7 linked regions of the Oryzias latipes genome follow. The protein of the gene in region 2 purifies or fractionates together with the protein of the main gene of each other region. This does not show direct contact. Links are inferred from orthologs where the notes say so. Each region holds a gene or a part of one and is shown on either strand. Other genes may lie near its edges. The genes, in order: smarcal1, rpa3, prpf19, zufsp, top3a, rfc1 and rfwd3.

Region 1 (4,165 bases), on a different chromosome or scaffold from region 2:
CAAGTCATTACTACAAATGTGGGCAAACACAAAGCAACATCGGGGGGTCATTTGATTTAAAAAAAAAAATTGCAAAATCTGTAAATTAGCAGTTAAATATAAATACTTTTGCAAATGCTTTACATTTGAAACGCATTTTTTCCCGGCAGCACATGAGATATACATCTTCACAATTGATCATCTGTGAGCTGTTTATAATATTGAAAACTATAACAAACAAACATTTTTTTTCATTATTCATTCTTGTCTTATCATTATCTAGGTTCATCATTATTTCAGACATTAAATAATTAATCAATTTATTTATTAATAAACAAACATGAGTAAAAATGCAATCTGATTTTGTATTTGATAGATCCATTGACGATTTAGTCCGATTTAGTCCATTACTGTAAAAAATAAAGAAATTATATATATATATATATATATATATATATATATATATATATATATATATATATATATATATATATATATATATATATATATATATATATATATATATATATATATATATATATATATATATATATATATATATATATATATATTAAGATAGATGTATTTAGATAGTGTAACAAACTACTTCATTAAAACTTGATTAACTTTAATTAAAATGACAAATAGTGGAAATATTTTTTGAATGTTTGATTTATTAATCATAGAAAACACTTCTGCTGATAAATTAATCTAGTGATCTGAATTGGGCTATTAGTTAAGTTTGTCATGTTTTTCAAAATTTAGCTGGAAGGAATGTAATTTTAATCAAATTACCTTTAAGGACAGCTCAGCATTGTACAATAATTGATAAGTATCAAATTTTCACCATGTTGGAAAGCAACCCCCCCCCCCCACCCCTTTTTTTGTTTTTGTTTAAAGTGAACTACAGTTTTATAAAGAGTTAAATTAAATGGTTTAGACTATTAAAATCAGGAGCAGAACTGCCAGAATGATTTCAGATTTAAAAAAAAAGGCTAATGAACAAAGAAGCATTAAAAATTGATGTAAAGTCAGCAAAAACATCTGCTGATTTCCAAAATAGTCGAAATTCAGAATTCCCCATGGGTCCTTTAACCAAAGATGCAAAGTTATATCTTTGTATTTCATTCTTATAAGGAATAAATATCCAGAAATAGTAGTAAGAGAATATGTCATGTAAGAAACACAATAACCTTCTAAAACAGTAAAAGCAGTAACTTAAAAAAAGTTTTCTTTTTTAATAACAGAAGCTTTCAAATACTAAATTACATAAAAATGATTAATTAGCATTAGCAATCAAAAATTATTTTTTCTTTTAATTGTGTTGTTAGATGTCAAAAGTTTTTTTTATATTTTAATATTATTTTTATGTTGGTAGCTGACAAAAAGGGTCTTTGCAGCGCTCACTACTTCCACGTGACGTTTTGTTTTTCTGCGTCACTTCCTGCGCGGCAGATCCTGAACTAAAGTTTTCCCTGTTAGCTTTCCGTTAGCTCCTTTTTACGCCCCATAAGTCGCCTGTTGCACGTTTAAGTATTCATATAAAATGTACGAACAAAAACAGTCTTTGGATTACATCGTTTAAAACAAACGCTGACTGTAGTCTTCAGTTTCTCGTCGTAGTTCAGCATAATCGTTGATTAGCTAAAGGATCTAGCTTCTTTAGCAGCAGGAGTTTGTGTTTTTGAGCGTGAAAGCGTTTACACTCGTGGATCTTCATGAACTGCAGTTTTCCAATCATGTCCAATCGGTTGTGAGTGTGTCAAGCCGTCATCTGAAGTAGCTCCCAGCAGCCAAGTCCCTCAACATGTCCAATCAGCTGACTGCTGAGCAGCAGCGAAAGATCGAGGAGAACAGACGGAAAGCTTTGGAGCGGAGAGCAGAAAGACTCGGACAAACTGTCAGCAGCACGAAGCAGCCTCCGGCGGGCTCCAGCACTGGGCCAGGACACGCGCAGGCCAAAAAACCAAGTGCCCCCCTCCACCCTGCTGGACCTGATGATCACAGTGGAGCCCCGGCTCCCAAACACTTTGCTCCATCTTTCCAAAAGGTGCAGCAGAACTTCAGCAACCAGATCCCAAGTTCAGGTGGTCAGGGCAACTTTGGCTCATCAAAACAGGCGAGTTTTGTATTCAAATCAATTTCTTGAGAAGAAAATTAATTTTTTACCATAGCTTTGATCTTATTGTAGATAAAAGTCCCTGGTCCAGTTTCTCAGACAAACCAACATGCGAAGAACGTCCTGCCTGCTGGAGGACAACTCAATGCCAACACAACAAAGTCCCCCTCCTGCAGCTCTGGAGGTGCACTCGGGTCCTTCTACAATCAAGTCAGCAAACCTGCACAAGCTCCCCCAGCAAAGTTCACCCCCTCCACCTCTGCCCCTATGAAAAAGCCTGCCGTCTCTGTCAGAGGAAAATGTGTTCTTCATTCAGAGAACCGCTTCAGAGTGGAAGTGGGCTACCATGCAGAGCTAATAGCTGTTTTCAAATCCATGCCCTCAAAGAATTATGGTAAGCGCTGCACCTCCTTCACTCATAACTGATGCAGAATTTAGATCAGACAATGAAAGGTTTGATCTTTATCTCATGCAAATTAGCGTTATTTGTTTCAGTCGTCTGTCAGTAAGAAATGTTAAAGTCCCGTTCTGCTCGTCTTTTGAACTGTGCTCCTTTAATTATGGTTATGCTGCTTTTAGTCAAAGTCAAATTACCTAGGACATAGTTTCTGCAGAGCGGCAGTAATTCATTAAAACTTCGCTTCTGAGCTGTGAGCGGGACTGTTGGTGCGAAGTAAGCCCGTCCCTACTTCCCATCATCCATCTGTTTACATGCTTTGCTGCTAGCTTCGTCTGCAAGCAGATGCATCAGAATAGAGCAGAGCTGGGAGCCTGTGGCCTGCCGTTGTAGCTTAGCTGGGCCTGCACGATAAATCGCAAATTTATTGTTATCGCAAGATCAAGCTGTGCAATACGTATATTGCAAAAGACAGAGTAAATTGCAATATATGGTTACCTGCAAGCTGCCATAAGATTGCTAAATGGACGCCTTCACGTTGTTGATCAATCGGATGGAGCTCTTTCATGTTAGATGTTGGCCTCCTATGTAGACTAGGGGTCAAGTCTTATTTAAATTAAACTGTTGCAGCAAAATACAAATGATGTTTTTGGTTGTTTTGCTATTTGTTCATGTATCGCAATTTATATCGTCATCGCAAAATTGATCACTAATATCGCAAATTGCGAGTTTTCCCTACTTCTACTTCACAACTACAAGCTTTTTCTAATGGCATTTTTTTTGTCTGCTCCCGAGTCACAACAATTTCAAAAAAGAAATACTTATTAATGCAATTTTAAGATTCATTTTCTATGTAAATAACCTCCATCATCAGAAAAATATCACGAAAACATGTTAGAAACACCAACCAAATTTTTCATTAATCTCTGTTACCTTTTTTTTTTCTTGTTCAATTATTATGCTTGTGTTTGTGCTTTTATTTTGAAATGACACAATCTTTTGTTGCCTTAGATCCAACTACAAAAACATGGAACTTTAGTCTGGATGACTACAGACAGCTAAGTATGCCAACAAACTGCCAGAAACAGGGTTTTATTGTTTTAAGTAAACTTAAAGGAATCATTAGCACTGTTTGCATCTTTCTTCTCATCCTGCAGTGGAGGAAGCAGCTGCCATTGCCTCAGTGTCTTTGAGGCCTCTGGAGGGAATGGAGGCGGTCAACAGTGGAGCCGTCCAGCCTCGTGACGGTGCGGCGCTAACGGCGCTGCTGAAACTGTGCAATGGTTGGCAGAAACCTGGAGCCGCTATAAAAGGACAGTGCATCCTGGTGTCTCGGACAAGGTTTGAGGTTGACATCCTTTACCATGCCGACGTCATTGGAGCATTTAAACAAATGCCTACTAAAAGCTACGGTAACAAACGCGCACTTATGAAGTTTCCTAGCTGTGCTGTTTGTGTTTTTTTTACTTGTCTTTTTCTTTTCTTGTAGATATGAACACTAGAAAGTGGAGCTTCTCGCTCACAGACTATGGAGGACTCCGTGAGTAACACAGCTGTTTAAATATTGAGCTCCCTCATCTTCGATACCATCTTGTCTAACGGTGCTGTGTTCCGTGCTCAGTGGATCTCATCAGTGGGATAGCAGCAGTGGAGGTGGAGCCTCTACCCAG
Region 2 (4,079 bases):
ACTGCACTGATTCAAAAGGAAACTAGAAAAAGTAAATCTATCTAAAAATGTTTAATCATTTTTGTTGCTACAGAAATGACAAACTATCGGGGGAAAAAAGTGCGCTTACCGCCAGAGCCTGCTAAACATTAATGACATCTAATGACTATCTAAGTCTAAGTCATCTAAGTTGTGATGCCAACTTAACTATGCATACAAGATAAGACAAGATATGAACAATAGGAGTCAGACATAAGAAAAAGTAAGTGTTAAAAAAACTGAACTTGGTTATTTTTGTTTCTACAAAGGGGAAAAAACATAAACCAAAAAAAAATTAGGATTGTATCTGGTGTTTCCTAATGAGTTATTTCATGAGGCTGTGTGTCAAAAGCATTTAATAGTGTTTAAAATGTAATAATTGTCTGATTAAAAGAGTTTAATCCTTTAATCAAAAGAAAAATGTTTTATGCTGTTTTGTAGTTTTGGATCGTTGAAGTCTCTGTGAGCAATAAATATGGATGTCTAGAAATGAAAATATAAATTTAAAAAACTAGAAGAAACAGCAGAAGATACAATCAGGATTCTGGTATTTGCAGTTTTTGCTTGTGTGAGGAGACAGGGGGAATTTAATTAGGGCTAAATTTAAAGGTTTTTGGGATGAAGATCCTAAAAACCTGGAACATGGAACTTTTAAAACAATAGACAAACAACTGTTCAATTTTAGCATGACCAGAACAGCAATTGAGAAGATCAAAGGTGCAAAGAGTCATGATGTGGATTTACTGTCGGATGAAAATAACAGAATTCAGGGCTGCAGCTGAAAACAAAAATTAAAACAGAGAAAAAATACTTATTTATTGCAAATAGAAGAACTAGTGGGAAATCTGTTGACAATGAAGTGAAAACAGCAAGATTCTGATGTGTAATATTCTTAATAATCATTTGTTTTGGAGGATGTTTGACAGATGTTGGATTTTGCAGGTGATACAGACATTTACATCCTACTGATGAAGCAACACCAATGCATGAAAACACTTAAAGGATAGTATATTCAAAAAACTCCCAGGCTCTTAAGCTCACCATGGTCTCCCAGAAATGATCGTTTACAAAAAAATATCTTTATTTATTGCTTATAATTGTTATTCTTACTATTTTGCAAATGTACATCTTTTTTCACAAAAGAGGTAATCACACTAACTAAGATCTAGCCTGTCCCTTCATGATAAATAACAGAGAAGGGAAGATTTCGAGATTACATTTTCGATTTCAAGCAACACAAACGTTTAAACGTGTTGTATTGAATCCGTTCAGACAGTAGGTGGCGGTAAAAACACCAATGAAGGCCTAATCTCCCTGAAACCGCTTAGATGAAGAAGGAGGAGGCGTGTACCTAGAAACTAGGCGTTTGTTTTACTCACCGTGTTCTTTTTTTGCTTCAACAAATTCCACCGGTTTTTTAAGCCCACTGTTCGTCTCCACCCGCGTTACAACGCCCGGTGTAAAAACAAAAGACTCCCAGGCTTCCCGCGCCCAGCTGCTTCAGTCTCGTGTCTGTGGCGGGAAGATGGCAGGAATCATAGATGTTCCGAAACCCCGAATTAACTGCTCAATGCTGCTGCAGCACATCAACCAGGCGGTCTGCTTCGTGTGCCGGGTGTCTAAGGTCGGTTTCGTTCGAGTCCTGTGGGGTTTGGTGGTGACAGGCGTTTCAGTTACCGAGTTTTTACTTTGTGTTGTAGGTTCATCCCTCCGGGAAGACGTTCACGGCGGTGGACGGAGAGGGGAAGACGGTGACCGTGGAGCTCAACTGCTGTGTGAGTACGCGCACACACAGCAGCCCCGTGCTGCTGGGACTCCCGTCCAGTTCCTGTTGGTCCATAGGCTGATATTGGATGTTTAAGACATTGATTGTGTAAAGTAAACCTGTTTTTCGCATTTTTAAACAACTTTTAACTTCGTAGTGACTTTACCTTCCTAAGAAAAAGAAAAAAAACTCTCACGACATGACTGTCTCCAAACTACGTTTCGGAATGACTTAATTTGACAACATGTACTTTATTAAAAAGACAAATTGGCAAATGGCAAAATTAAATTAATGTTTTTTAGTGTGTTTTTGTATGATTTATCTAATCGTTTTGCTTATCTTTGTGTTTGCATCGGTGAGCATTCTTATTCCCAAAAGTATTAAACCTCACTGCCTGCGGAAGTCCCGCCCACAAACTATAACGCGCATGTCTGACAGTTCTAAGGTACTTCCTGTTCCATGAAACATTTGAATGTTTTTGCTAGATAGATCACTGAACAAATGAAATATTATTTAAGACTGTCTGATACACAAATGCATATGTCTTTTTTGTTGTTGTTGATTCATGAGAAATTAAATCAGAAAATATGTTTTTCATGTATTTATAAAAAAGATGTTATAAATTTAATTCTTAATCTAAATTAAATACTGAAATACTTAAATACTGAAAAAAATCTACAATTATATTTCTAGTTGTATTTATTATATTTTGCTTTTAGATTTCTCATAATTCATCAATTAATCACGATGGATGGACGGAGTAGTTTGGGTTCATGTTCTTTATGCAATATAATTTTTTTTTTGCTAAGTTTTAATAAAATCGGAATAGATAAAGTTATAAAGTTACATTCATCCTATCTGTATTATTTAGGAAGTAGTGCTACATTTGCTGATTCCAATTGCCAAAAGCCTCCCACTGCTGAGAGATTTCTTTCTTTCTTTTTTATGTTTACATTTGTTTTTCTTTTCTTTTTTTGCGTGTCATCTTAAAGTTGTGAAAGATCTTAAAAATAATGAACACAAAGGAATTCTTAAAAGGCCTAAAGTCTTTTCTTCTAAAGACTTTAGGTATATATTTCGACAATTTTGAGTCTGCACCCACAGAAACTAAACTGAAATCATGCTTTTTTTTCTTAAGGTGGTGGACTGATCTTTTGTTTTTGTGTAAAGTTCCATCAACTACAGAGATATTGTGAGTGCGCTTTAGGTCCGGTTTATACTTCAAAAGGGTTTGTAATCGCTGGCGTCCCTGTGGTCGCACGGCTATTGAAGCGAAATTGCCACAGTCGCTGTAAAATAGTACCCCTGCTGGTGACGTCAAACTCTGTCAGAAAAAAAATGTCTTTTTAGCACTGAAAGGGGGTGAAAACTTGTTTCCAGCTGGAGGAGGAGCTGAGCGGCGTGGTGGAGGTGATCGGATTAGTGTCCAACAAAGGAGTCCTGATGGCCGCCACATACAACCTGCTGCGAGAAGACCGCGGCACCCCCTTTGGTGGGAGTCCAGTGAAGCTCTGCTAACTCTCCAGGAAATAGTCGGCGTCCCTAACTGTCTCTGTGTCTGTCCGGCAGATTTGGAGCTGTACAACGAAGCCCTGAAGGTCATTCATGACTTCCCCCAGCACTACCCGTTCGAGGCCGCCGTCAGCGGCTGAGCCGATGCCGTGGCTCTGACCCTGCCAGAACTCATGTAAAATATTGTTAAATTAAATTTTAGTTAATATCCAGAATAATGTGTCACTGTTTTTGGAAAAACATTCATTCTTTTCCTTGGTTAATAAAGTTTTTGTTTTCTGTAATTTCTCGTGTTTTTGATCTTTTAGTTTGAAATAAAGAAGCTACAATTTTGCTTTTTTTAGCAGCAAAGAGGCAGGTAAACAAAAGTGATCAACTGAGGATTCTTTTATCACATAAGACAGCCAATCAGAGGCAGCGGGGAGCAGGTTTTCACACAAAGTGAGCATGAGTCATCAGCTGGTGTTGTTGTTGGTGAGGAAATTTTTTGACCTTTAGCGAACTACAAAACAGAAATGGGGGGAAAAATGGAGATCTGTCCAGGAAATAGACTTTTTCCTTTGAACAACTATTCTACAGAGCTCCTTTCATCATCACGTTTGTGTTCAAGCAGAGATGCAGCCACATGTCAGTCTAACGTCAACTTAGTAACACATGATCCTATTTTATCTGTCAGCAGGCATCGTTTATCTGTTACCTCCACCTGATGAAGTCCTTGAGAATAGAAAAATTAACCAGAGCGGTCAGCAGGGGGCAGTGTGAGTTGAGAAGCTCTAGATAGACA
Region 3 (3,952 bases), on a different chromosome or scaffold from region 2:
TAAATCAACATTAAAATAATGACACTTTACCTGTGAGCACTTTGTTGGTGTCAGAGGGACACACATCCAGAGCCAGAATACCAGGCACACTGGCACTATGCAGACCCTACAGGAAATATCAAAGTCACACCACAAATATGAAGCAATCCAAACAAAAAGTTACATCCTCTGGATTCTCCAGAATCTCTTCTTACAGCGTGGGAAGCAACTTGGCGGTACTTGCTGAGATCTTCAGCTCTGACCAAATCCTCTGGAACAGTTTTTCCTCTCTGTAGATAAAAAAAAAACACAGGGTGAACTGGGCGCTACCAAGACAGATAAAGACTCCACAAACTGTTAGGTTGTAGTCAATACTGCACCTTCTTTCTCTCTGTGGTGAGGATGGTCGCCTTGTCTTGAAGCTGCAAACACACAACAACAGTCAAATAGACCAAAGGAACAAAATCTTTCTACAAACAAACTTTACAAAGTAGAATGGTTTTTAAAACTAAAGAAAGCCGTACCTTCTGAATGATCTCTGGGGTCATTCCCACCTGTTCACTGATCTCCATGGGTTCTCCACCAGCACCCTGAAACACAATATTGACAGTTATTAGACAGATGAGTTATGAAAGTCAATACAAAGCCTTTTTTTTAAAGGAAAATAATTCAATAAATAAATCAAATTTTACTGCAGCAGCTGGCTGAGAGGCAGGGACTGCTTGAGGGGCCACCAGTCCAGCTTGGGGTTTAAGTGTAGCAAGAGCTGGAAAAAAAGACAAACAAATGAGCCAATTAGACAACCCCAATTATGAATAAACAAAACACACTCTTCATTCAAAATCACTTTGTAAGATAGCATTTGACGCAAACTTCACTGACCTTCTCTTGCAGCAGTGACCTCTTTGTTGAGGCGGGCGATGACTCTGCAGGCGGCATCGTGCTGGTAAAGGGCATGAGAGAGTTCTTGGCGAGTCGTCTGCAGCTGCTGCCTCAAGGTGAAACTATGAAGCATCACAGCATCCTAATTCACAAAAGAAAATGGGTCAGGTTACTTTTACCAGAGAATCTCTCAAAATCCACTTCGGGTCGTTTTGAAAAGCGGATTCCAGAAGGAACCCATCACATCAAACGCAGATCATGACGTTTTGTTTGACCAAAACACATTCTTCATTAAATAATGACAATTCCACTGACAAGATATGATCCCATTCTGCCACAATTGTAAAAATGAACTGTTATTCATATTTTAATGACTAAAAACATTGTATACGTTGATGCTACTTACCCACTCGTCTTGAAGTGACTTGAGAATGGCAGGAATGCTAGTAGCAGATGGAGCCTTTGGTCGAATAGGATGAGTAACTACAAAGAAATTAAAGCAGACATTTTCTAAAGCCGTATAGAATCACTGTATCCACATTAGGTTTTCTTATCATGCAAAATCAACTTTTTGAGCTTTAAGTGAATCATAATGTTAAGCCCTCAAGAAAAACGACCCCAAAGCCATATTTTGATCCATTGACGAAGCTCTGAGCATTCCTCTAAACCCAGACCCCCCAAACCACCTTTTATATGCACAATACATCCATCTTTACAAGTTTGGATTTTGTTTGTTTTTGTGGGCGAAACGCAGACACACTGGCGAGGCCAGCTCTAAGTTAACAAAATGAAATGGGCGGCAACCACAAGGAAGGAGCGAAAGCCAGTGCCTCAGAGATCGAAAGTCTTACCTCCAGGTAGGAAAAGGAGCTGAAATAACTAATATTTCATAAATAATTTGTTCTTTAGTGTTCCAAAGGTAATATATGTCATTTATATGGATATAGTTTACTCTGAAATGCTTAAGAAAAGCATGATTATAGGCCCACTAATTAAGTGTTGCAAATATACTACAACAATATTTTTAGGTTAGGCGTGTGTGTCAGTGTATTAGTTTTTGTTTTTTTACTATAGATATTTAATAAATATGTTATTATGACCTTCTCTATTTTTTAAAAACAACAAAAAAGTACTTTTCCCCCCCACACCATTTGTTACTGCTGTTTTTTGATCAACTTTCTGGCATTTTTTTTTAAATACTTTGTGAAAAATTGTTTTTCCAATAGTTTTGGTTTCATAAATTCGTTGTTTCTTTGCTTAATTTTCTTATATATTTATTTAAATTTTGTAAATTGACGTGCTTTAGAGATGCAATATGTTATGAATGATATTTGCTTTTTAAGACGAAGGTCTTGAACCTGCGCCATTATAGGCTGATGTGTCGTTTACCTTTGATATCCACAAGCTGCTCCTCGGACAGGGGCTGTCCGTTCATCGGGTCCGTCCCATTCTCAGCGATGTACTTCTCTATCAGTCTGCGCTCGAACACATGGTTGGACACCGGAGAGATGCACGGGTGCTCTGGAACCTCGTTGCAGACTGAAATAAAGGTGTGGCAACCGCTTGAAAGACTATTCTAAATCAGTAAATTCTTTTTTAAAAAGTAAATAAAAGCAACAAACATAAAATGAACGGAAGCAATTCCATATAAAAGGCGGCATTGATGGCCGCTAACTGCTACATTAGCTAGTTACTAGTAGCATTTGCGTGGCGCCTCGCTAAACACACACATTTCAAAGGTTTTCACTTAGCTTACTTGCACAAACCAGAGACATGTTCCCAACGCTGTGTAAATAGTCTCCTCTGGAAAGTAATATATGCTTACTCCAACCTTGTGTTTCGCTAGTGTGCACCGATAATGACTGAATTGAAACTAAGAAAAGCTATGCCCTTTCATAGCCTCAATAAAATGAGCCAGCTTCTTCTTCTTCGTGAAATGTCTGCTAAACGCAATTCGAACGTTGTCTCCACACTGCCCCCTAGTGCTTAAAATGAACAATGCGTTGGATTACTGTGTCTAGCAGGAAACTAGTAATCTGAAACTAAAAATTGGATTACGTGTGTTTAGATAAAACGGATTTATTGTTTACCACGTGTTTATTTTAAATTTTTGTTATAGAAATATTTTATGTTTTGTTCATGAAGTTCAAAGGTTAGCAGACCAAATGGAAAAGCACATTTCACAGCACTTTACAGTTGCATTGAGTTGAAAGGAATGACACCTGCAACAAATACTACACTGTTACAGATAAGATCATAACTAATTCAATAATTGTTGTTTGGGTTATAAATGTATTAACACTGTGGAAGAATGTTTAAGTGAGTATGAAATATATATATTTAGTGTCAATACTCTATGCAGCTCTAGAAATAATACAACACTTGCAAACAGGGTGACACTCAGTAAACACAGTGCAGATAACAGTGGCCCTGAGGGTCTGGAGGTAGGTAACAGCAAGAGATCTTAAGAGTACAATCCACCACTGCAACATGAGACAGAAAATGCAATGCTAAATTCATGCATCCAAAGATTATGTTTACCAAAATATTTTGAACTGTAACTTGCATTGAGTAATGTCCTTCACTGTTATTTGTTCATTCTATAATGTCCTTCTTTTCTCATTTTGGCACCTGTTTTATAAAAAGTCCAGTTTCTCTGACGTGTAAACGCTGCAGGATTCAGAGGTGTCTGTGTCCAGTGGCAATGTTGAAAAGAACTCTGAGCTCCACCTTTTTTCATCTCCATCCTTCTTAATCTGGTACTGAGCGCAGTCCTCAGAGGAGTGGAGGCAGTCTGTTGCTCCAGGCACAGGAAAGGAAATCTTCTCTTCATTCTCATTCACTTTGTTCTCCTAGAGGGAATTCAGGGGGTGGGGGGTGGGGGGGGGGGGCACATGGGTAGTTTTTATTTCTTTTGATTTTATGTCAACATGAGCCAAAAAAGGCTGACAGAGTTTTACCTCAGTGCTTCTGTCATGCCTGGGCGAGACCCCAGCTGTCCGTTGCTGTACTTGCTGGTTTTCAGAACTTGGTTCCCCTATCGTGACAGGAGTGTAATCCTAGAAATGAAACCCACATGTTCAAACACTCA
Region 4 (2,348 bases), on a different chromosome or scaffold from region 2:
TGACACAGAACATGAACCGTGTGTGATTATTGGGCTGTGATTTGTGCGTCAGTTACGTAATTTGAATGCGAAACGTACGCCGTATACGGGAGATAAAAGTTATACATCGGTGGTTCATGCGTTAAAAGTCTGTTAGACATAGCCACAAATTTGTGTATCCCAAAAACCACACACAATTGCATAAGATTTACATAACAATTGCGGATAAACTACGTAAAACATGCATAACCTGCATAATTCTCAATAGACTAAAAGTCCGGAAATCATGTAAAGATCCTAAACCCTCGACAGACATCTGAGCACATCGACAGATAACTAACACAAGAAACACTTTTGAATTCCGTAAATCACGCAAGACTAAAATTTCATACGTGGAAAATGTACACAGTGGCTGAGTGACGTCACGTAGCCTTAAGATAACATTTCCTAAATGAGAGAAAGCACATAACTGACAACCTAAACCAATAAACTGAGGTTTTCATGTGTGCTAATAAATATTAATGTTATTGTTGAGTTTCTCCAAATCCACTGATGTCTTTTTGCTCGGCCAGAAAAGGCAGTTCCTTCTATCCCACAGGTCCAGAGAATGATAGAAGAGGCCTGGAAAGCAGGTGTGGATCCACAAGGAGCATCCCACTTCAACCACCGCCTGCAGGGAACACGGGCCTGGATCGGGGCCACAGAGATCTACGTGTTGCTCACCTGGCTGGGTGTCAGGTGGGACGGCAGCTCTTGCTCCATGTGTAGGCAATGAATTGTTGCTCATGAGCATCATCGCGGTGTTTACCTCCAGAGCACGCATCATTGACTTCCACCAGCCTACGGGCCCCGGGGACACCCATCCCCGGCTGTTTGACTGGGTCAGACAGTACTTCCTTCAGTCCAGCCAGAGCAACAGACTGCCCCCCAAGGTCATCCGAACCAGCCTGCCCCCACTTTACCTTCAGCACCAAGGTAAATGGATGGGGGAGTGTGTTCCAGCAGAGGCTTATTTACATAAAAAAAACTCCTTTGAAAATTTGTCACCACATTTGGTAATTCAGTTGTGAAGTCATGGTTGCCATGGTAACAGTGTTGTTCATACCTTTTATTTTAGCGTCTTTTTCCTCTGAACACCAGAGATGTTTGATGTTCACCAGAGCTCTTACACTTTAGGGTGGGGGCTTTATGCCCATATTGGGTAATTACAGCTGTTGGCTGGAGATCAGAACAACTCTGACTGTGGAATTCCTGTCAGCACGTCTGCTGCCGTGTGAAAAGTTAGTTGTCTACAGGTCAGGCTGTCTTCGTCTTTTGCTCGCGGTTGCCATCGGTGATCGCAAGAGATGCCGTCGTGGTTTCTCGAATTAATTGAGGAGTTTCGGTGTGTCCACTTTGGTGCTATATTTGGGTTAATTTGTCTGATTAGTGGTTCCATCCCTTCAGCTTCCTGCTCTGTCTGCAGGTCACAGCCGCTTGGTTGTCGGCGTGGAGCAGAGGAAAAGCGGCGCCCTGGCCCTTCTCGTTATGGATCCCGGATCGAAGCTGTCACTAAGCACTGATGCGGTTTCCGTGGCGATTCGCCACATCAGGAAGTTCCCCAGCAGCCTGAAGCACAAACAGTATCAGCTGCTGGCGGTGCAGGGGGTGCTGTCTGCAGAGGACAAACAGGTACGCTGGCAGCGCACATCCGCCATCACCTGTTTGATCCTGAAACTGCTCTGTCTCTGTCCAGGCTGCTGTCTTCAACTCCAGGACTCTCTGTGCAGAGAAGATCCCATGAGAGGCTCTCCAAGCATCTTTTTACTGATCACAGTCTTCATAATTTGGTTTTAGATGTTTTATAATAAATGCTTTCCATACAAAAGTGTCTGCTGTGTCATAAGGACCTTTAAAAGGATTTCCTTTTTTAACCCAAAAAATATCCGCAGTAAAGAGAAACTAAAAGACAAAAAAATTAAGTTTTATTTAGCAAACTTTGTTGCTCTAAAGACTATGTTCTAGCAGACAGACAAGGTTTTCAGGATTATAGATGAGCCGCATGTTTATCATGTAAAAAAAGTCAAATGCTTATAAATGTATCAAATTTCACAGTTTGCATCATTTCAGTAAGTTGCAATGAATAAATCCAAAAACTTTATTTCATAACTGTCAGACAACAAGAATAAATGCAACATGTTTTTACTCACACTTAGCAAAAACATAAACTTAACACTTTTGATTTTGCTCCAATTTGTCAAGAAATGAACTCAAAGATCTGAAACATTTTCTACAAACACAAAATAACCATTTTCCTCAAATATTGATCACAAATCTGTGACGGTGAGCACTTGTCCTTTGCTGACAAATTCCGGGTGTGGCATTAAAGA
Region 5 (3,500 bases), on a different chromosome or scaffold from region 2:
AAGTCTTCCGAGCAAAGTTTTCTGAGATCACACCGGCTTCCATTCGGAGAGCGTGTGAGACTCTAATAGAGCCAGATGCAAACATCAGTGATGCCGTGGATGTGAGACAGGAGCTGGATTTACGGATAGGTAAGGGGACTGAGAAAAAAAAAAAAAGAGGTTCTTTTGCTGCCTTTCGTGGCTGTTTGTGAAGACAAAGTCATTGACGTCACTTTCTGCAGGTGCATCCTTCACCCGATTCCAGACGCTCCGCCTGCAGAAGATTTTCCCAGAATCCTTGGCCAACCAGCTCGTCTCATATGGCAGCTGTCAATTTCCCACTCTGGGCTTTGTGGTGGAACGCTTCAAAGCCATCAAAGCTTTTATACCAGAGACCTTCTACAAAATCAAAGGTAACAAAAATAAAAATAAAAACATCTCCAAACACAAGCCTGCAGGGCTCTGTTCAGTCCCCCCAGTTTTACACGTGTCTCCTTGTGGCAGTGCTACACACACTAGAGGACGACACCGTGGAGTTCAGTTGGAAACGAAACCGGCTCTTTAACCACACGTGCTGCCTGGTGCTCTACCAGATCTGCATGGAGGTACGACTTTCTGAAAGCACCTTGCATGAATTTTTGCACGACTATGTGTGTTCAACCTTTTAATCTGCTGGAATATGTTTGTGATGAAACTCTGTAAACCTGAATGATTTTAATGGGTCTTGGTAAGAAAACGCGGCCTTTATTGCACCTGGTATTTTACTCACTGGTCTTGATGCTTTAACTTCAATGCTGTTCAGATGCTCACCAACATTCTGATCTTTTCCCAACAAAGAAACAGAAACAGAAATGAAAATGCTTTTGTCATCATCTTTGTCTGAAAAATGTCATATTTCGGATAAGATTTTTTTGGTTTTACGATACTAAGAAGCACTGTTTAAGGCAACGTAATCCTCTCTGAATTTACTTAGAGATTTTTGCCAATTTTCCTAAAAGAAACAAAACAAAATCATTTCTAACTATAGTTTTGTTCAAACTCTCACGAATAATCTGGACATAGGGACTAAAGATGGATATTAGCCCAATATAATTATTGTTGGATGTTTGCATTTTTAAATGTCACACCTTGAAATGTGCTCTCCGTGTCTTAAATAAACAAACAAACAAATACTAAACCAATAAGCTTTGTGGTTGAGCTTGACGAAAAATAAATGTTTTTATTGTTTGTTTATTTTTAAAAATGGGAGACTTTTCAAATGGGATGTCTTGTCTTTTCGTATATTTTGGGTACATTTTTAAACGGCTATGACTGAAATGAACATTAAGTGCAGCCGGGACTTGAACAAGGGGCCTTCTTAATGTGAGGCAAGAGCGCGCTAACCACTGCACCACCGTGCAGCGCCGTCATTCAAACTTATTTATCAGAATTATATTTTTACCCAGAAATGGTTTCTGTCTTTGTAATATCCATGGTTTATACTTGAACATGGTTTTTAAACTCTTATTTCCTTTTTGTGGCTTCTTTTCTGACGAGTAGAGACTTTGGTGCCTTAGTGACTTTCATTCATAGACACGCTGTAGTGTTCTGGATCTATCGGTCTCTCATTTTCACTGTCCTGTGTGGCAGAAAGTGAGTCAGGGAGCAGATTCAGGTCGTGTGTTCTGACAGGCCTGAAGATGATGGTTTCTGAAACGGCGGACATCAAACATCTCGAATGTTACAGCAGCTGTTGTTGCCAGATATTTTCTCATCCATTACAGCATCAGCCACCTAGATCAGGTTTCAAAATGATTTGACTAAAACTAAACTTAACTTTACTTATAAAATGCAGTATTTACTCATCAAAAACTGAAATTGATCTTTTTCTTTAAATAAACAAATTGCTGTTTTTTTTCAGACACTGCGCTAACAGTTTATGTAAGAATTCACCATTTTTAAATATAAATCTCTGATTTTTTTTTTTTGCTTCAATCACTTATTTGATAAGACTTTTTCTTAAACAAAATTGGTTTTAAATGAAAACTGTATAGATTTATTCAAAGTGAACACAAAACACATTGTGAAATAAGTTAACTCTGTGTTTTGCATGAATCCCATCCCTTAAAATGGTTTAAAAAAAAAAGAAAGAAAAGAGACATTTGTCATAGGTAAACATTTAACATCATGCTTTTCCATTTTAGTCTCAGATATAAACTCATGTAGGGATTACTTTGGCGTTCTGCAAATAAATGATTACATTTTTTGAGTCCAATAATGCTGCAAATCCAGCTGTAGTTTCTCCTCTTTAAAAAGCTCCTTGTTCTTGCCAGCCGTGTGCTGCTGCAGCTGACATGACTCTGACTGGAAGCTATTAGAGTGAATGAAAGGGTCTAAAAGCCATATTTGAAATGAGAAAATGATTTTATTCATTTCCAGGATCCCATAGCAACAGTCACCTCAGTAACAAGCAAACCAAAGAGTAAATGGAGACCGCTGCCTCTGGACACTGTGGTAAAAGGATGAAACCAAAATACTTTTTCATGCTGTCAAAGTTTGTTGTTGAAAAATAAATGTTTTTGTTGTGGATTTATTTCAACATCACAAGTCTTTTACCTTTGCCTAACCTGCAGGAGCTGGAGAAACTGGCTTCTCGGAAACTCAGAATAAACGCCAAAGAGACCATGAAGATTGCCGAAAAGCTCTACACCCAAGGGTGAGCGTCTCAACCTCTGAACAAGCCGTGCGTTCGAGCCCAGACTGTTCCCTGAGACCGTTGTGTTTCTGCTCAGGTTTATCAGCTATCCTCGCACAGAAACCAACATTTTTCCTGCAAACTTGGTCCTGGCGCCCCTGGTGGAGCAGCAAACTCACAGCTCAACGTGGGGGACATTTGCCCAGCGGGTGCTTGACCAGCCTGGGGGGCCCAACCCAAGGCAGGGCAAAAAATCGGACCAGGCCCACCCTCCCATACACCCCACTAAGTACACTAGCTCTCTGCAGGTGGGTTGTAAGGAGTCAAAATATGCTTTTATTTAATATTTCAATTCCATTTTAAGAAAAAACTATTTTTTTAAAGGAAATATGAAGTTTTTTTGTTTTGTTTATTGAGTTGATAAGTTCTTCATGAATGGTAAACACGATTACTTTAACATTAACTGTCTCCTTCCGCTCCAGGGAAATGAAGCTCGTGTCTACGAGTTTATTGTTCGACACTTCCTGGCCTGTGTGTCCCAGGATGCTTTGGGGCAGGAGACTGTGGTGGACATAGACATTGCTCAAGAGAAGTTCTCTACCTCCGGACTCATGATTATAGCCAGGAACTACCTGGATGTTTATCCGTACGACAAATGGAACGCAAAGGTACAAACAGACCGAACTCTTGACAGTTCACTGCAAGTTTCTTAATCTTCACGACAATCTGTTTTTATTGTGTACTCGCTGCCACGTGTGTGCTGCAGGTGATTCCGGTGTATGAAGAAGACTCTCAGTTCCAGCCCTCTGCTATTGAGATGGTAGACGGACAGACGAGTCCACCGCAG
Region 6 (4,239 bases), on a different chromosome or scaffold from region 2:
GTTCTACTATCAGACACGGTTGTATTTTTTCACATAACTTACATGTTTCGACAGATGTCTTCTGTCTTTGTCAGAGTCGCTATTTATGTTTTCTATTCATTTTTCTGTTCCATTTGTTCTGTTTTCTTACACTTTTTTTTATTCCAGTCCTTTTCCTCATTGGGATCTTCTACACCTGAGGTGTTGGACTCGAGCCCTCGAGGGCCGGCAACCTGTTGTTCAGAAACCCTGAAATGCCTGTTGCCATGGTTACCTGAATCAGGTTTGTTTTGCCAATTAAAAGCTACAACGGCAGCTTGGATGAAAAAACAAGTAGGACACTGGTTAATGAGGCCTGGAGTCTATACCCGTGGTATCATTTGGAGTGAAGCTCTATGACGTTTCACATTTGATGTTTGGAGCCTTTTCAGCTGCTTTTGTATGAAAAGGATTTTATAAATAAAGCTTGATTGGAAGTGTTGGAAATCGAAAAGATAGAGTTTCAAACCTAGAGGAAGTCTGTGTTTTGATCCGAGCACTTTCTTTAGAGTGAACTCTAGGAGTAAACTTAGTGTACAGATTCCTGAATCACTAACTTCTGCTTCTGTTTTTACGCCGGAGTGTTTGATGATCTGCTCACCTCCATCTCTTCTTCCACCTGCAACTGTCGGGCGATTTCCTCATCACTTATCAGATCCTCAAAGTCTTGTGTTGGCTGGAAGACAGGAGTTATAGTGAAGCTGGATTGTTGTAAAACAAATGAGAGTCCTGAAAGCTGGAGGAGAAGAATGAGGAGGATTCATCAGCACTCACAGCTTTTCTCTTGGCGCTGGCTACCAGCTTCTTTTCTGAGCGATGAATAGCAGCACCGCCGAAATAATCCGCCACTGAGGTAGGAGTTAGTTTGGGTGGAGGTGGTGCAACAGACTTGGGGGTTGTGGGACTCTTTAGCCCAGATTTTCCTGTGACAGGAGAGGCTTTGGATCCTGAGCGAGAACGTTCTGCGTCCGCCTTATTGCTTTTAGGAGAACCGTTCTGTTTGGGTTTGGCTCCTTTCTTCAGCGACTGAAAGTTGTCGCTGTCCGAGTCTAAAAGCACAAAAACAGACGTCAGAAAATCGGCTTTTTAGCTTATTGAATCTGGAGGACGTTGGATGAAGAAAGGCCTCACCTGTTTCAGAGACGTACTGCACTGGGTCTTTTTTAGGAAGAGGCTCTGCTTTGCTGCTCGTCGATTTAGAAGATTTCTTAGACTTTGTTGCAGGTTTCTCCTCTTCTTCTGAATCTGAACAAAACAACAAGAATTTATCCTTCAAGCTTTTTAAAAATAGGATCTGAAATAATATTTACCTTTTAGCTGTTTTAAGTCAAGGATTCACAATTTCCTTTGACACTAAAATAAAATGTTGATTTTATGAAGGAACTTCATACCTTCTTTAAAGGTAAGTAAATCATAATAGGGCTGTGATTGTATAAATTCTGCCTTTAAAGCTATTTTAAACTATTATTTAATAATCCTATTTAATGTGTCATGTGTGTCATACTGTATGCATACGTGCAACTATGTTTATTTATGATTAGGAGTAATTATAATGTCAAGACAATAGCATAATCTTCTTTTATTTTCTAATGAACTTGTGGTTTGGTAGGTAGGTTTGGTATAACTATGTATGTTTATTTCTGCTTGATGCTTCCTGCATCACATATGAACCTCTCAGCCAGCCTCTCACTTTTTCTTTGACATTATTATATAGTGATGCTGAGAGACACTGCACCACTCAAAGACATATTACACTCGTTGTTCACCTTTTGACACATCCTGTCAGAGGTCGCTGCTGCGAATCAGCTTTCACTGAGTCACACATTTGGTTTGGCAGAGACTTTTTTTTAGGCCGGATGCCCTTCCTGACACAACCCTGTATTTTATCCGGGCTGGGGACCAGCACAGGGAGACCTGGAGTTGGCCCCCCATCCAGTGCTGTTAAATCACAGAGGTCATCTCGTGACTTTAAGCCACGCCCATTAGGTCATCCAGAGTCTTTCCTACCTGATGCTATGACAGAATACTTCTTGCGCTTTTTCTCACTGTCTTTGCGTCGCTCCTCTGTTTTGGAGCTTTTGACCTACATGAGATAACACAAGAGAAGCTCAAAATCCCAAACATGTGCAGGAACAGCACTTAGTGTAGAAGTAAAAATGAAAACACAAGAGTATCAACCTTGGTTCTTTTCACATCAGAGGAGTTGAGGTTCTTCTTCTCCTCTGCTTTGGTGTTTGGCGCTGGTTTCTGCACCGCAGGTTTCCCTGATGTCGGTCCAAAGAACCGCCTTATATCCTGAATGCAGAAGCAAAGGAACTTTGAGGCTATTTTAACAAATCAATAATCTGTACTTCAGTGTGCAAAAAAAAAATCCCTGCATCTCTTCAAGGATTAATTAAATTTAAACTACAAATGTGCGGATTTAATTATTAAAACATCCGGTAAATTATAGCTGCTGTGCAATAACCTGTTCCTATATTAAAATAAAAAATGTAGGTCAACAAGTCAATTGTCTTAAAACTGTTTTAGCTAACCCACAGCAGAAGCGCGCGACAACATCTGCTTAGCATCCAGTTTCTCCTCAATGTCAGACTTTGCTCACATGCGTTCGCTTTCTGTGTGAGGTGGAAACCATAACGGTGTGTAACATACCATGTTGGAGATAATTCCACAAGGAAACCTCACAGTTTGTTATCAGCAAAATAATAAAAACTCCCAACTACTTGGCGCCAAGTCTGCAGTCGCTAGGAGATGACGCACCGGATGCTGGCTGCGTCACTGCGTCATCCAACCAGCGTCTTGAGAAATTCATCACACATACATTTAAAATCATTTTAGACAAAACTTCTCATTTGAATATAAACGTCTTTCTGCCGCTAAAAAGATAATTTAAGTGGTTTTCTAGCTACATCTTAGTTGATAAATGATCTGCACCAAGTTAACTTTAAAGATTTATTTAAAAAAAGTAAAAATGCTTTTGACATTTTCATGTGTAGTAAAGCTTGTTTTCCCTTTCTTTTAAAGTGCCTCATAAACAGTTTCTCACTTTTATTTTCAGTCCAGTCAATACAAATCTCTCCTCACAAATAAGCCTGCGTATACTTTCTATTGTGTATTTATAATTCAGCTTTACACTAGAATAAATATAAAGTTTGAAAACGGTACAATAGAAAAATTATGTCCAGAATATTAGGAGGCAAGATAAACAATTCATTGACATGGCTGGCCTCTAAATTGAAGACATTTTTAGCTGTTTACAGAGGATTGTCAGATAATTTTTTTTTTTTGAAAGATAAAGGCCAATTTGAACACTTTTACAAAAAACATTCAACAATTCCTTCAGTATGTGTGACTAATTTTATACCTCTGACCAAACTTTACCACATTTTAGTTCAGATCACAACTGTTGTCTTTAATAAAGCTTTCATTAGATGTCGGCAACAAACGGAGCTCAGCTACTTTCAGATAAACAGCCTTAAATTAGGACTAAAATGGGCAGATGATGGAACTGCTCCACTTTGCTTCAGTGGATGACAGTCGAGATCACAAAACAGAAAGCTGGACAATTTATTTTAACCATAAAATGTATTTGTCACATTTCCGTCTGTCCAACATTTACAAAGACAACTCCATCTTATAACCAAAGGTTAATGTAAAATAAGACAGAAAATGTTTAAAATGACTTGATCCATGTAAATGATGCATGACGGAAACCAGTTTTCCCCCAAAGTTTTTGTGAAAATCATTCAATTTAAAGCTGTCCTTATATTTTGATAAATAATCCCTCACCTGCTTCTTTTATACTGTCACACTGATGAGTTTCTCAATACTCTCATTTTATGTCTTTAGGAACTTTGGATCAAAGCCGAGTCCAGTTTTCTGCTAAAACCTTCTTGATGACTTAAACCTTAAATGCACAGCTTTCTCTAATCAAGCAAAGAACAATTACACAGACAACAAGAGATCAATCGAGCTGGAAAAAGGTTATTTTATTGGTCATAGCAGAATCTGAACATTTATTCACTGGCTGACTCCACCACAGTGGTCCTTTCGCTCACATAGATGCCGTCCAAGAACTTCCTGATGTCCTTCTTCCTCACTGTGGTGGCCTGCTGGATCAAAGCCGCTGCAAAGAGAGAAACAACAAGCGGAGAGCAGAGCGTGAGAACGGGAGCTGTGAGCGGCATGCAGGCCGTGTCTGTGTGGGAGTAACTTCCAGTA
Region 7 (3,935 bases), on a different chromosome or scaffold from region 2:
AGGTTTTCCACAATGTCATGATCTTTTCATTTATTTATGGGAGATTTATTCGTTGATTGTACAAGTTCATATTAATTTTTTTTAATTTTGAACAACTTGGGGCTCCTTAGTCACAGGGCTAACTGTAAGGGCAGAGAAAAGGCTGCCGATGATGAGGCGAGCCTCGCCAGCAGGGGGCAGACGTGAGCTGCCAGATGCTTTGTAGCTACACTGGTGCAATCTTTCTCCAGCACAGCATAGACTCACTAAACTAAAGGAAAATAAGGAAGACTTTTCAAACAGACCATAGAGCTTTTTGTGGAGAAGGATCGGTGCTTGTACTCAAAAAGTAAGGCCAAACATGGTTTTCAATTTTGTTTTGTTTTTTAAATAACATGGGAGTAAGTGGGGGGAAAAATTAAGTATTTGAAAACTAAATTTTAGGCCTAAAATAATTATTTTTATGATCATTTTCACAGACAACATTTGATAACTGATTAAAGCACCAGAAACTGAAGTTGGAAAAATACCAGAAATAGTCACTGAGGGTCAAAATGAAATGTATGCTGAGCACATCTGTCTCTACTTTGATTTGTTTACAGTATATATGAATAATTTATACACAAGAAGAGTTTTCAACCCATTTCTATTAAAATATATATCTCTGTAGGACAAATGTGTTCTTGTGTGTATCGTATAAGCTGTTTACTGCTGTTGGATGAATGGTGAAATGTTCAGTTCTGTCAATTGTAAATCTGACTCCAGAGGAGTCGGGGCCTCACCGCACGTCTCAGTGTTGTGTGTTTGTGTGTTGTGGTAACCTTTTTTGGGGGGAGTGGGGAGTCATGCAAACAACTAACGATCTTCGTCGGTCACGTGACCGTGAGATGGGCGGGCAGAGCGTGCTGTAGCCGGGAGATTCGACTCCACACGGCGGCCACTACAGTCCGAGCTTTTACTCAGCGAACTGCTCAATCATCTCGGCCTTTACCGGACCACCATGACGGCGCTCCGTGTGCTCCTTGGAAGAGGGACCGGCAGCCGCTGAACGCGCACAGGTTGGTGGCTTAACTTCCGGAGGTTTAGCCGTCAAGTTAACCGCCGCCGACTCGTTAGCTGCTAATAAGCTAACGGATTGAAATGTAACCGCGATGTGGGCGCCTCCTTGACCTGGAACCATTGGTGTCCGCATGCAGCTCTGACTAAAAACTCTGGAATCAAATATATCCGGTGTTTTTGGTGGGGGTCTGTGGCATTTTCGTAGTTAACCGTTCAGAGCTAACGGAGACCTTCGATCGGGTTTATGGAATGTGTTAGCTCGGTTATCTGTCCTCCCCCGGTTACTATTAGTTTTCACTCGGAGAAGCCGAAGCGAGAAACAAACAAACAAAAAAAGATGAAGCGGAAGCGCCCGGTGAACTGTTTCCGTTAGAGGCCTGTGCGACCTCGGTCTGGAGTATATGCTTAGCCGAACCGCGGCGCTCGTGTGCGGAATGGATCGACCGAAGCTGCCGTAAACACGAGCAGACTGACGGACACTCACGCTCTGGGGATCGGCAGGTTACAGTTGCTGGTCGGATTGCCTTGTCGGAGGTTTTTGACCCCCAACAAATGTCATGACGTCCATCAGGAGTCTTTCAGCTGCCTGGAGAGGGCATTGTCTCACTGCTGTGCTGTTTGTGTGCAGAGGAAGGTGAAGTATATCGAGAAGATGAACTCGAATAACAGCAGCATTACCTCAGAAGAAAATGACTCATAAAGCAGTAGTTAACAGTAGTCCAAAGAAACAGTAGACCAAAGAAAAATTCACCTGAACCTAGATATAGGTCCTTACAAAATCTTCTTTTTGGAGCTTTTAAGTGTATTATTGATTGATTTCATTTATTGATTTATTTCAAAGCATTGATTTGATTTGATTTATTGATTATAATTAGGGCAGCACGATATGAGGAAAACTTGCGATATTAGTGATCAATATTGCGATGACGATATAACTTGCGATAAATGAACAAATAGCAAAAACAACAAAAACATTACCATTTTACTGCTAATGTTTAAGTTAAATAAGAGTCAAAGTACCTTATATTATTCTCCAAATGACCCTCGCGATGACGATAAATTTGCGATTAATTGTGCAGGCCTAATTATAATGTTTATTCCTCTCAAAGAAAAACCATAAAGTAGTCCGCCCTCCAGGTCAACACTATTGACAGTAAATGAGAACTGCACGAAACAATCCTTCTCCTCCCTCACATTCCAAACAGGAAGTACCCAAAAAGCTGAAGGCCTTCTAACATGCTCATTCCTGATTGGAGAGAGTGGTTGCCATTGAACAGTTGGACGAACCAATCACGGCTTACCGATGACGCCTGGTTCCAACATGGTGGCGACTAAATTTACTTCATTTGGTTACAACCGGAAGCAAGGCATTTTCTATGGCGGTGTTTTTCAACCTTCTTTGAGCCACAGCACACTTTAACTTTGTCAGAAAATCCCGCAGCACACCAGCATCCAAAAAAAAAGGAGAAACTCATAGTCTGTATTGATCTACAGCCCCTCTGCAATCTCACATGCATTTTTGTGATAATTGTGGCAGAAAAAGCTGGAAGTTGCAGCTGTTTTTTTCTAAAAGATGTAATAAAAGTTAAGTTAGAAGGTTTAAAAACTGTTTGTGTGTTCGTTGTGGTTTCAAGACGTTAAGAGGAGAGGCTCATTGTGCGCTGAGACGCTGTCACTTTAACCAAATGCATCATGGGAGATGTAGTGCAAACAGCCGCTGAACGCAAACAGATTCGCGTCTCTGAGCTTCATTGTTTTGTTCACTTGTTCCATGGTCCGATACCGGATTCTGTGGAAAGCTACACCACTAAAGACGAGCTTTAGCTGGTATTTTTGTTGGAACTGAGAGACTTTATGAGCAGAATCGGAACAAGGAAGTGAAGACTTTAACCACTTCTGATTGGTCAGACTGATGACGTGTGATTAAGCCTCCAAGAATGATTGGTGGAGAAAGGGGCGGGACTTTTCAGAAAACAGAGCTGAAGCTGAGCTTCCCACGGCACACCTGACCATCTCCCATGGCACACTGGTTGAAAAACACTGATCTATGGGTTAGGGTTAGGTATTATACAGTCAGTGGCTAACACACGAACACTTTCTCCGTGGAGCTGGTGGGGATCGGCAAAAACTCTTTCCTTTATATGCTCAATATGCACAGCCATTTTTGGAAACATTTGGATTTTGTTTGTTTTCATGGGCGAAACACCACACGCTGCTGATGCTGACTCTAGGATGACATCATGAAATGGGCGGCACCCACAAGGAGAGATAGGCGGAGCTTCAGAGATCGAGTCATTTTGCTTCCGGGTTGGAAAATATGGAAGCATTTGTGTCTCATAATTCAAAATAAGTCATTACCAGAAATGCTTTTTAATTCTCACAATGAAGCTGCGTTTGTTGTCGTAAAACTTAAATTAAAAATCAATCATCCAAAATGCCTTTTCATTTTCTCCTTCAACACCGCTCTTTCTGTGACATAATTAACGCGATAATGCAAAGAGAGGATTGCCTTTTTCGTTTTCACATCCACCCGCAAAAACTGTCGCATAAATCATTTCCAGTCAGCATTTCCAGGGGGAGGCGGGGCGATGTCTTCTTCTTCTTCTGTCACTACCGCACGTGTTGGCTGCTGGAAAAAGAGGGACAAAGCAAGAGTAGAAGAATGTGGACCAAGAGATTGTCAAAAGCTGGCAAATTTAGCATGGTGACATCTGTGCTAGAGCTGTTGAGGGAGGCTGCAGCTATCCTTCAACAACAGGAGACAATCTTCTAAATGTGCTTTTATTATTGCTATGATTATTATTAAGGGCCTGTCTGCTCATAGTTTTTTTTAATCCGTGTAGCCAGTGCTTTATTCTTGGCTGAACGGACCCGGAAGATGGGTTAGGATGAGGCCA

What was found.
Region 1: the proteins of rpa3 (region 2) and smarcal1 purify together in Homo sapiens (affinity purification with mass spectrometry; 3 studies listed by BioGRID and IntAct, with this or other methods). This does not show direct contact. The link is inferred for Oryzias latipes from reciprocal best matches to the Homo sapiens genes RPA3 and SMARCAL1.
Region 3: the proteins of rpa3 (region 2) and prpf19 purify together in Homo sapiens (affinity purification with western blotting; 3 studies listed by BioGRID, with this or other methods). This does not show direct contact. The link is inferred for Oryzias latipes from reciprocal best matches to the Homo sapiens genes RPA3 and PRPF19.
Region 4: the proteins of rpa3 (region 2) and zufsp purify together in Homo sapiens (affinity purification with western blotting; 3 studies listed by BioGRID, with this or other methods). This does not show direct contact. The link is inferred for Oryzias latipes from reciprocal best matches to the Homo sapiens genes RPA3 and ZUP1.
Region 5: the proteins of rpa3 (region 2) and top3a purify together in Homo sapiens (affinity purification with mass spectrometry; 3 studies listed by BioGRID and IntAct, with this or other methods). This does not show direct contact. The link is inferred for Oryzias latipes from reciprocal best matches to the Homo sapiens genes RPA3 and TOP3A.
Region 6: the proteins of rpa3 (region 2) and rfc1 purify together in Homo sapiens (affinity purification with mass spectrometry; 3 studies listed by BioGRID and IntAct, with this or other methods). This does not show direct contact. The link is inferred for Oryzias latipes from reciprocal best matches to the Homo sapiens genes RPA3 and RFC1.
Region 7: the proteins of rpa3 (region 2) and rfwd3 purify together in Homo sapiens (affinity purification with mass spectrometry; 5 studies listed by BioGRID and IntAct, with this or other methods). This does not show direct contact. The link is inferred for Oryzias latipes from reciprocal best matches to the Homo sapiens genes RPA3 and RFWD3.

What each region holds. Positions count from the first base shown.
Region 1 is NC_019879.2:19,986,593-19,990,757, forward strand, and holds the start of smarcal1 (SWI/SNF-related matrix-associated actin-dependent regulator of chromatin subfamily A-like protein 1), read left to right. Parts: upstream 1-1,365; 5' UTR 1,366-1,786; coding exon 1,787-2,098; intron 2,099-2,170; coding exon 2,171-2,492; intron 2,493-3,506; coding exon 3,507-3,557; intron 3,558-3,652; coding exon 3,653-3,907; intron 3,908-3,984; coding exon 3,985-4,035; intron 4,036-4,116; coding exon 4,117-4,165. UniProt on the Homo sapiens protein: ATP-dependent annealing helicase that binds selectively to fork DNA relative to ssDNA or dsDNA and catalyzes the rewinding of the stably unwound DNA. Rewinds single-stranded DNA bubbles that are stably bound by replication protein A (RPA).
Region 2 is NC_019869.2:20,979,314-20,983,392, reverse strand, and holds rpa3 (replication protein A 14 kDa subunit), read left to right. Parts: upstream 1-1,405; 5' UTR 1,406-1,543; coding exon 1,544-1,642; intron 1,643-1,718; coding exon 1,719-1,793; intron 1,794-3,163; coding exon 3,164-3,275; intron 3,276-3,352; coding exon 3,353-3,435; 3' UTR 3,436-3,579; downstream 3,580-4,079. UniProt on the Homo sapiens protein: As part of the heterotrimeric replication protein A complex (RPA/RP-A), binds and stabilizes single-stranded DNA intermediates that form during DNA replication or upon DNA stress.
Region 3 is NC_019868.2:15,898,566-15,902,517, forward strand, and holds the start of prpf19 (pre-mRNA-processing factor 19), read right to left. Parts: upstream 2,801-3,952; 5' UTR 2,637-2,800; coding exon 2,618-2,636; intron 2,401-2,617; coding exon 2,251-2,400; intron 1,345-2,250; coding exon 1,268-1,344; intron 1,004-1,267; coding exon 862-1,003; intron 746-861; coding exon 672-745; intron 570-671; coding exon 504-569; intron 402-503; coding exon 360-401; intron 270-359; coding exon 195-269; intron 107-194; coding exon 31-106; intron 1-30. Other genes in the region: uncharacterized protein LOC101174031, read right to left, coding at 3,498-3,713, 3,822-3,920. UniProt on the Homo sapiens protein: Ubiquitin-protein ligase which is a core component of several complexes mainly involved pre-mRNA splicing and DNA repair. Required for pre-mRNA splicing as component of the spliceosome.
Region 4 is NC_019874.2:5,464,977-5,467,324, reverse strand, and holds the end of zufsp (zinc finger with UFM1-specific peptidase domain protein), read left to right. Parts: intron 1-551; coding exon 552-717; intron 718-793; coding exon 794-954; intron 955-1,444; coding exon 1,445-1,650; intron 1,651-1,714; coding exon 1,715-1,762; 3' UTR 1,763-1,848; downstream 1,849-2,348. UniProt on the Homo sapiens protein: Deubiquitinase with endodeubiquitinase activity that specifically interacts with and cleaves 'Lys-63'-linked long polyubiquitin chains. Shows only weak activity against 'Lys-11' and 'Lys-48'-linked chains.
Region 5 is NC_019866.2:19,317,472-19,320,971, forward strand, and holds part of top3a (DNA topoisomerase 3-alpha), read left to right. Parts: coding exon 1-129; intron 130-221; coding exon 222-392; intron 393-483; coding exon 484-584; intron 585-2,397; coding exon 2,398-2,472; intron 2,473-2,591; coding exon 2,592-2,674; intron 2,675-2,750; coding exon 2,751-2,961; intron 2,962-3,135; coding exon 3,136-3,321; intron 3,322-3,419; coding exon 3,420-3,500. UniProt on the Homo sapiens protein: Releases the supercoiling and torsional tension of DNA introduced during the DNA replication and transcription by transiently cleaving and rejoining one strand of the DNA duplex.
Region 6 is NC_019859.2:13,023,696-13,027,934, forward strand, and holds the start of rfc1 (replication factor C subunit 1), read right to left. Parts: upstream 2,801-4,239; 5' UTR 2,674-2,800; coding exon 2,671-2,673; intron 2,314-2,670; coding exon 2,197-2,313; intron 2,102-2,196; coding exon 2,026-2,101; intron 1,264-2,025; coding exon 1,150-1,263; intron 1,068-1,149; coding exon 793-1,067; intron 695-792; coding exon 620-694; intron 1-619. UniProt on the Homo sapiens protein: Subunit of the replication factor C (RFC) complex which acts during elongation of primed DNA templates by DNA polymerases delta and epsilon, and is necessary for ATP-dependent loading of proliferating cell nuclear antigen (PCNA) onto primed DNA.
Region 7 is NC_019864.2:6,590,144-6,594,078, forward strand, and holds the start of rfwd3 (E3 ubiquitin-protein ligase RFWD3), read left to right. Parts: upstream 1-1,135; 5' UTR 1,136-1,595; coding exon 1,596-1,672; intron 1,673-3,935. UniProt on the Homo sapiens protein: E3 ubiquitin-protein ligase required for the repair of DNA interstrand cross-links (ICL) in response to DNA damage. Plays a key role in RPA-mediated DNA damage signaling and repair.